Linked DNA regions of Callithrix jacchus. The protein of the gene in region 2 binds, or shares a complex with, the protein of the main gene of each other region. Links are inferred from orthologs where the notes say so. Each region holds a gene or a part of one and is shown on either strand. Other genes may lie near its edges.

Region 1 (3,394 bases), on a different chromosome or scaffold from region 2:
TGTGGTTTTAATCAGTATACAAATAAGATCCATGCTTTGTGATTGATTGATACATCTCTTAAGCCTTTTTTTGAATTCGTTGGTTGCCCTCCAACCTTTTTTCCCCTTGTAATTTATTTATTGAAGACACTGGACTGTATCTGGGTCTTCAGACTGAATTGTGCTGATTGTATCCCAAGTGCTCTGCATTGCTGTTTTTATTTTTTTTTGTAAATAGTTAGATCTTGAAGCTTGAGATTTAGGGTTTGAGTTTTTTAGCAGTAATACTTCCTAGGTGGTATTCTATATTTCCAGTATCTCCTTGCCTTTCTTTTTATGATTTTAGCAGCTATTAATGATCACTTCTTTGAAGACCTTAATTAAATAGGGATTACAAACTGATGCGATTCTATTTTTTCTCATTCCTTTTTCAGTTTTTAGTCAGGCTACTTCTAAAACTTTGTTTCCTCAACTGTTTGGTTACCTAATGACATAGTTCCTATAGTAAGGGCAGGAATAAATGCTTGATTCTCTTTATTTACCGGTTTTCAAAACAATGAGTTCATTGTCTAATGATCCAAATCATTGGTCCACAGTTAACCCATGATTTGTTTTGGTGGAATATCATTATAAACCCATTGGTATTACTTTATATATTTAGGATATTAAGTATGTTAAGGAAGCCATCACCATCTATTTGCCTGGCAAATAATGCATTTTACTTCTTATGTTGGGGAAACCTATTATTTACCTGTTCTTTCTGTTACTTCCGCCAACATGTATTTATGATTTCAAGGCTGATTGCCTGGGAAACTCGTTCCACTGACAAACTGCTTTATTTAGATTGTCTTTTTTATTATTCATTTTTTGGTATAGAGTTGAATTCTAGAAAGTTAAATGATAGCATGATGAACCTCCACTCTGTGCTTTATGCTTCATTGTATCTGGTGAGGAAAATTAAATGCTATACTTAAGAATCTACTGTGCTACTGCATTTGGGGAACCTTCTTTATGTTTTTTAAAAAAAAGAGATGGGGTCTCACCCTGTTGCCCAGGCTGATCTTGAACTCCTGGGCTCAAGAGATCCACCCAGCTCCGCTTTCCAAAGTGCTGGGATTACAGGCGTGAGCCACTTCGCTTAGCCCATTTGACTTTCTAATGCACATCAAATAGTTGGTAGATTTCTCCTCTACCAGGGTATAGGGTATAAAAATTAGACCCTAGTTCTCCTTCTTTGCAAATATTATTCTTCACCTTTGCCATTATTCAAGGCAGTGTTTGTAATAAAAAATAAGTATAAAGTAATAATTTTTTTCCTCTTAACAGTGATGGTGGTCTGCGTTTTGGAGAAATGGAACGAGATTGCCAGATTGCCCATGGAGCAGCCCAGTTTTTAAGGGAAAGATTGTTTGAGGCATCAGATCCATATCAGGTTCATGTTTGCAACCTTTGTGGAATAATGGCGATTGCCAACACCAGGACCCATACATATGAATGCAGGGGCTGCCGCAATAAAACCCAGGTGGGTATAGACTTCACTGGCAGTTGATATTTGTTTAGAGGAAACTCTGTTGGTCTGATTATCCAGGCAGATTTAGTGTGGTAGAACAGATCAGCATTTTCACAATTTTGATAGCATGCCTCTGTAAGATTTCTAGTTCTAAATAAGAAAAAAATAATTTGATGTTTCTAAAAACCAGTTTAGGTTTTAGTGTGGTAATTTCTTTAAGCTGTTCATCTTTTGGAAATAAAACTTTGTACAAGGGATTTTAAACAATGAGTTTTTAAAAACCTTTTAGTTGAGGTGGGTGAATATAAATTATGTCTGGCAGGAAGGGTAAAATACCAAGCGTACTAGGAGAAAGAACCATCGTAAGCCGAGGTAGCAGAATGCGTGTTCTCAGCTCCACTCATTTATTATCTGCAGTACCAGACCTTTGCTTTCTCGGGTAGAGAAGTGGGGTGACTTCAACATAGTTCTGCTAATTGCTATTTGTTTTTTCTTTTCAGATTTCTTTGGTGCGAATGCCTTATGCATGCAAACTATTGTTTCAGGAACTTATGTCTATGAGTATTGCACCACGAATGATGAGTGTTTAGCTATTTTACAAGACACGACAAGATACTTAAAAATATCTTGGTGTTAGGGCCGGGCGCGGTGGCTCAAGCCTGTAATCCCAGCACTTTGGGAGGCCGAGGCGGGTGGATCACAAGGTCAAGAGATCGAGACTATCCTGGTCAACATGGTGAAACCCCGTCTATACTAAAAAATATACAAAAAATTAGCTGGGCATGGTGGTGCATGCCTGTAATCCCAGCTACTCAGGAGGCTGAGGCAGGAGAATTGCCCGAACCCAGGAGGCGGAGGTTGCTGTGAGCCGAGATCGCGCCATTGCACTCCAGGCTGGGTAACAAGCGCGAAACTCCGTCTCAAAAAAAAAAAAAAAAAAAAAAATCTTGGTGTCTTGTTTCTATTGTGTGGCTTTTAAAAAATGACAAATATGTACTGTGTTGTGATAAAAAGTTTTATTTGTTTAATGATACGCATGCTTTTCTTTTGTAAATATATAATAAATTTTTGTAGATAAGTCTTGATGTGTGATCTTTATTTTGTATCTCTCTATGTAAAACCAGTGAATATATAACTAAAGTGTTAGTGGATTGGCGTAAAAGAAACTTATTAGGCAAGAACAGGTGTTGTAATTACCCATGACTACTTTTAACCATGCAGACTAATGTATTCTGGAGGTTTATAGCTCGGCACCTTCACCTGTTTAAAAAAAGAAAAAGATAAAAATTAGTTACATCTAGGGATGTGGCTGACTTTCGAAATGTCAGGTAGTTAAGTGTTTCCAAATAAATGAAGACGTTAAAATGTGGGGAAAAGAAGATATGAGTATAAACGACATGCCGGAGTGCTCTGTGGAACTTGAGTTACATGACTTGAGCTATGAAAGGCAATTTTGCTTTACTGGGTGATGCATCAAAGGTACATCTTACTACAGAACTGGAAGAGCACATTTCACAAACGACCGAGTTGAGATTCAGAGAGGTTAAAGACTTTCCTTTGTAGTCCAGATCTCCTTCAAAATGTAAAGTGGAGGAATAATTAGTAGCAGAGCTAGACTCAAACGCATGGCTTGACCCTTAGCTACTGCTCTGTTTCATCGCCTGGCATTATACATTATGGCTGAAGAGAATCTGACCAAATACTTCTTTACTTAATATTTCTTTTCATATCACAGCAGAGTGATCTGCACAGTGGAATGGTTTGACACATGCTGACAGTTTTGTTCTGTCTAAGGGAAAGCCAATTCAGACATCAGTTTCATAGAACTATATAAATGTAAAGTAGCATTGCTATGACACTTAGGATGGTTTCTTCAGAGGAAGCTTTTTGGAAGTGAAGGAAGGG
Region 2 (4,863 bases):
TGCATCTACAAAAAAAATTAGCCAGGAGTGGTGGCTCGTGCCTGTATAGTCCCAGCTATTTGGGAGGTTGCGGTGGATGGCTTGAGCCCAGGAGGGAAAGGGTGCAGTGAGCCAAGACTGTGCCATTGCACTCCAGCCTGGGTGACAGGGCCAGAGCCTGTCTCTGAAAACAAAACAAACAAAATACAAATAATAAATTTGTCAGTACAATTTACCTCAACCATTAAAAACTATTCACTCCTTCTCATTAAAAGAAAACCAATTCAAATATCTGGGTTCTTGCTTTACTGTTCCACTCACTCACTAACCTCTTTATTTCGCCCAATCTGCCTCTTGAAGCTTAAATTACTCATCTGCAAAATGAACATTTCTATCGTCCCTGCTTTAACATTCATTCTGTTTCTACATATAAGGAAAGTATATGTGACTATGGACATCATCTTAACTAAATTAATTTAACTGCTGAATTACAAAAGTATCTCTATAGTGTTTTGTTTTTTAATCAATAATGACTCCTCAAGGCATTAGAAGGGCAATGTATTTTAAATTGGGAGCATAAATCTCAAATTGACAATACATAATGCTTTTCAGTAAACTAGATGGTGTGGTGTTCCTCAAATCAGTTACCTCTAAAAACCTTTTGCTTGGAGATCCAGAGATATATAGGTATAAATTTGCTTTCTTCTGGTACTCCTCTACTTAATGAATCATTCTTTAAGATTTTATTTTTGTGCCTTAATGAACTCACAACTTGATCACTTAACAGCTTCATAAGCACTATAGTTTAAAGAAGGGAAACGTGTATGCTTCACAAAGTATATGCCCAATGAATAATTTAGAATTGTTCACAATTTGAAAAGCACTCAAGACACGAATTTTTGAAAACTATGTGGGCACATAGGCATTATTTGAAATAAGCAATTTATAAACTAGTACCTAAAATTCTTCACTCTATTGAGTCAAAGTTTCCGTTTCTCACGAAATAGTTTAGGTTTGTCCTGATTTTTAAAAAGACAGGTATTTCAAACTTGAAAACTGGTTTATCAGAGGGCCACTAGTGGCATTATTAAGTGATTTCTTAGGAGGTTTCCTTCAAAAATGTTAATTCCCTGATGCAATGCTGAAAAATAAATTGAAATAATTTTTATACTGGATACTGTGTTAATAATATCCAAGGCGATAAAGTTCTACTTAACAGTTTTTTAAAATCCAGTTTGCACTAAGTCTCTTCCCTCTAATTACTCACGATTCCCCTACACATAAATGGTCCTATTCTGAAGCTTCAGGCACTTATCTATTTCTCTGAAAGGCCTCGTGTCTTTTAGATTTACTATAGAAAAACATAATGAAATATTAGGAGCTGTATTTCTAACCTGTTTCCTGAATATTTGAACAAAATACAACAAAAACCAAGTCCTCTGCAGCTAACACTTTGTAGAAAGCAGTTTTTTTAATTCCTGAAAATAATGCACACAGGAAAATCACTAGACTATCTGATCAAAAATTCTTTGTTTTCATATTTTGAAAATTGTAAATAAAAACGGACAGCGATTCGGATATATTTCCCCTAACAAACAAAAGAAGGTAATTCCTAGCTGCTGCTAGGAACAAAACAAAAACTTGGGGCTCTGAAAGCAGCCCCCGACAGGCGCGAAATTACAGCGTGAAAAAAGGACCTACAAATAAACTGAGCTCCGCACGCGCCTGGCTCTCGCCTCGGGAGCACGCACCTCCCAGCCCCGCTCTCAGCAGCTCTCACTATTTAAAGCCGGATCTGGTGTTTAAATGGAGAGGCGGTGACGTAGGCCTGAAAAGCACCTACCCATCCTGGCAGAGTCTATATTAGAGAGCGGCAATGGCTCTATATAAACAGGGCAGCCAAAGGGAGGAGGACCACAAAGCTCAGGGACTGAAAAGCAGGGTAAGCGGCCGCAGCCATGATGGATCGACCCGAGTCGCCAACGGTACGGTGTCGGGCGGCCGCGGGCTAGTCTGCGGCATTTGGGACCGGGCAAAAACGTGTTTTATTGTCATATAAAAATAAGAGTTGGGGGGACTAGTGATCACATTGCGTTGGTGACTGAAAAGGTTATTTATGTGACTGCTTTTTGCAAACCTACGTGATCGCAAATAACCAAAAAGGGACCAACGGGAAGAAGTAGGCAAATTTCAAGGCGAAAGCAGGGACACTTGGACCACTGTAGGCTTTTTTTGTTTGTTTTGGTGCTTTTGCTAGTCGAAGATACGATGGGGGGGGGGTTGCTTCCCCTTCGCCATTTTACCCATTCGGAAGGAACTGAGATAAGTGCTTTTCAAACAACCTTAGTCCTTTTTTTAAACATAAAATGGCCCCAGTGAAGGTTCCCAAAGCACAACTGCCAGGAAAAAACCTAAGTAACCCCCAAAAGTAGCCATTAATCCTCCACTGCATTAAAGTGGATCACGGTGGGTCTCAGGGGTTCGCCCGATTCCCCAGACACGGTTTTTGTTCTTAAGCCGCTCGGGGAGCCATCGTCTAGCCAGCGCGGACGGGCCCCTCGGGGGGAAGCGGCGGCTCCCCTCACGCCCTCCCTCCCGGGGGCCGGGTTCTGGGGCCGGGGCTGCGCGCCCGCCCGGGCCCAACCGCCTCCGCGGCCCGACCCGGCCCGCGGCGGCCCCAGGCCCCGCCGGCGCCCCCGCCCTCCCCGAGCCGCGAGCCCTCGGCGCCCCCCCGCGCCCGCCGCCCGCCGCCCCGGCCCGATCCGCCCGAGGCGGGAAGCGGCGGCGGCAGCGGCGGCGGCCGCGCGGGCGGCTGAAGAGTCGAGGCCGGGAGTCGCCGCCGTCCCCGCCCCCGCCCGGTCCGGCCGTTGCTGCCGCCTGAACGAAGCCCCCGCCGGCCACCGAACCACGTCCTTACCACGGTGTTTGTATTTGCCGAGTTCGCCATTTCCACACACAACACAAACAAGAGGGGGCAACCCCAAGAAAACAAGATAAAAACAAAACCAAAAAAAAAAAATACTAAAACACCCGAGGGTGACCCAAGTCACCGCAAGATTGGGGAAAAAAACTTAAACAAAATCAATCCTGAAGGAGTAGGGGAGAGCGGAGAGGAGGAGGAGGAGGAGGAGGGGGGCACTCCTCCCGCAGCTAAAAACCTCGAGAATCGTCTTTTTAAAAAAAAATCCACGACCCTTAAGGGGTCCGGGGGCGTTGCCCGCTCCCCACCCCGCGCCAAGGAGGGAAACCACCACCGGTCACCGCTCCCTGCGCCGCCGCTGCTGCCACCGGCTGCAGCTCCAGCCGTCCGGTCCGCTCGCTTCTCTCCTTTATATAGCGAGCCAACAAGCTGCGCGAACCGCCGCCGCCGCCGCCGCCGCTGAGAGACAGGGTGATGGGGGAGGGAGGGGTGGAAAGGGCGGGGGCAGAGGTGGGCGGGGCTGAGCGCGAGACACCGCGAGAGCCGCGTGCGCAGGCGCGTCGGGGCGGAGGCCGCCGCGAGCCGCGTCGTCACGCGCGGTGGGGGTGCTCGACTGGCGGAGCTTGGGTAGTGAAGTAGTGAAGTCGGACCTACGCCTCTCCAACTCTCGCGTGATCACGTGGTTGGCACCCAGGCGGAAGTCTGCCGCAGTTCTTTGCGGTGAAGTACTTGCAAAGCGTTTCTGGAAAAGGCGCGAGTTCTAGTGACATTCCAGTCCAAAGCTAGGTGGGACCGCCTCCTGTCGCACGTTTCCGCCCGGTCCCGCGCTGGAGGAGCTAGGAAATGAGACAAGCGGTAGCGACTGCCTCGCTAGGAATGGCCGCGGAGAACTGGTCACGTGGTGCGGCTTCCGGCCTCTGGCGGGTTCCGATTCGGGACGGTTTTAAATGCGGAGTCATCTCTTGATTTGTCAGCGAGGCTTTGACTGTGAGCCTCGGAGCGTTCGCTCCTCGCCGAGGGTGGGTCTTTCGCGGGCAGAATTATGTAGAATTTCCCAATGGGAGTAAAAGCCGATTGGGGCCCACTTTCACATTCCAGAGTTACTAACCTCTGACTTGGTTTGTTTCCACACTGGGTCCGCTACGAAGACCAGGCTTACTTAGGTTACCCAGAGATTAGTTCCCTACTAGCCCACGTACTTTAAATAATTTGTCACGGTGGTGGAAATGCGGTGCGGGGAGTAGGGGAGACAACCCCACCAGCCTTTGGATTATAACAGCACAATAACTTTCCCTGGTTTTAAAAAATACTGCCAAAATCCCACTACTCCGCATGGCCAACGTGTAGTGACTGATCACATTGAAACACATGCCCTTGACCCAAATCGCTTGGCCTCTAGTTATAAGAGAGCACGGCGGCTGTGCCCGTGTCTTGAAGTGCAATCCAATAAGCTTTTGACCTCCTCTGTCCAAACAAATCCTGCCTTTATATCAACATTACAAGCAGAACGGAGCCCCTGGAATTTTGAGGGACCTGAAATGTCATCTGGATGAGTGAAGGAGTTTGTCTTCCAAAGACAGAGCAAAACGAAAAGTTCTTTGCTGGTGAAACCAGATTTGAAGAATGTCAAAGGCATCTTACCAAAGAGAAAAAAAAAAAAAAAATGCAGCCTGCCAACACCTGAAGAAAGGGATTAGAGAAAGCAGGGGCCTTTAATACGCAGAAAATGGGAGATTATCAATGGGTGTGGAGAATATCTATGAACCTTGAGATTTATTTTCACACCAAATCCATTCCCCTCTTAACAATTACTTCCAGTTACCTGCACAGCTGCATGGTCTGGAACACTTAAAGAAAAAAAATCACAGGAAATCAGTGTTCTTAGCAATGTAAAATTGTGATTCAATCAACATTTGTGATTTATTTAATATTCAGGTGATAGCCCAATTGTAAAGTTACACTAA

What was found. Proteins that work in one complex are often made in the same cells at the same time.
Region 1: GTF2A1 (region 2) and POLR2B share a complex: the UniProt entries of both Homo sapiens proteins name them as parts of the TBP-based Pol II pre-initiation complex. The link is inferred for Callithrix jacchus from reciprocal best matches to the Homo sapiens genes GTF2A1 and POLR2B.

Annotation. Positions count from the first base shown.
Region 1 is NC_133504.1:139,754,608-139,758,001, reverse strand, and holds the end of POLR2B (DNA-directed RNA polymerase II subunit RPB2), read left to right. Parts: intron 1-1,305; coding exon 1,306-1,501; intron 1,502-1,989; coding exon 1,990-2,079; 3' UTR 2,080-2,567; downstream 2,568-3,394. Other genes in the region: IGFBP7 (insulin-like growth factor-binding protein 7), read right to left, coding at 2,730-2,749. UniProt on the Homo sapiens protein: Catalytic core component of RNA polymerase II (Pol II), a DNA-dependent RNA polymerase which synthesizes mRNA precursors and many functional non-coding RNAs using the four ribonucleoside triphosphates as substrates.
Region 2 is NC_133509.1:116,181,704-116,186,566, forward strand, and holds the start of GTF2A1 (transcription initiation factor IIA subunit 1), read right to left. Parts: upstream 3,368-4,863; 5' UTR 2,927-3,367; coding exon 2,897-2,926; intron 1,965-2,896; exon of another isoform or gene 1,891-1,964; intron 1,121-1,890; exon of another isoform or gene 937-1,120; intron 1-936. UniProt on the Homo sapiens protein: TFIIA is a component of the transcription machinery of RNA polymerase II and plays an important role in transcriptional activation. TFIIA in a complex with TBP mediates transcriptional activity.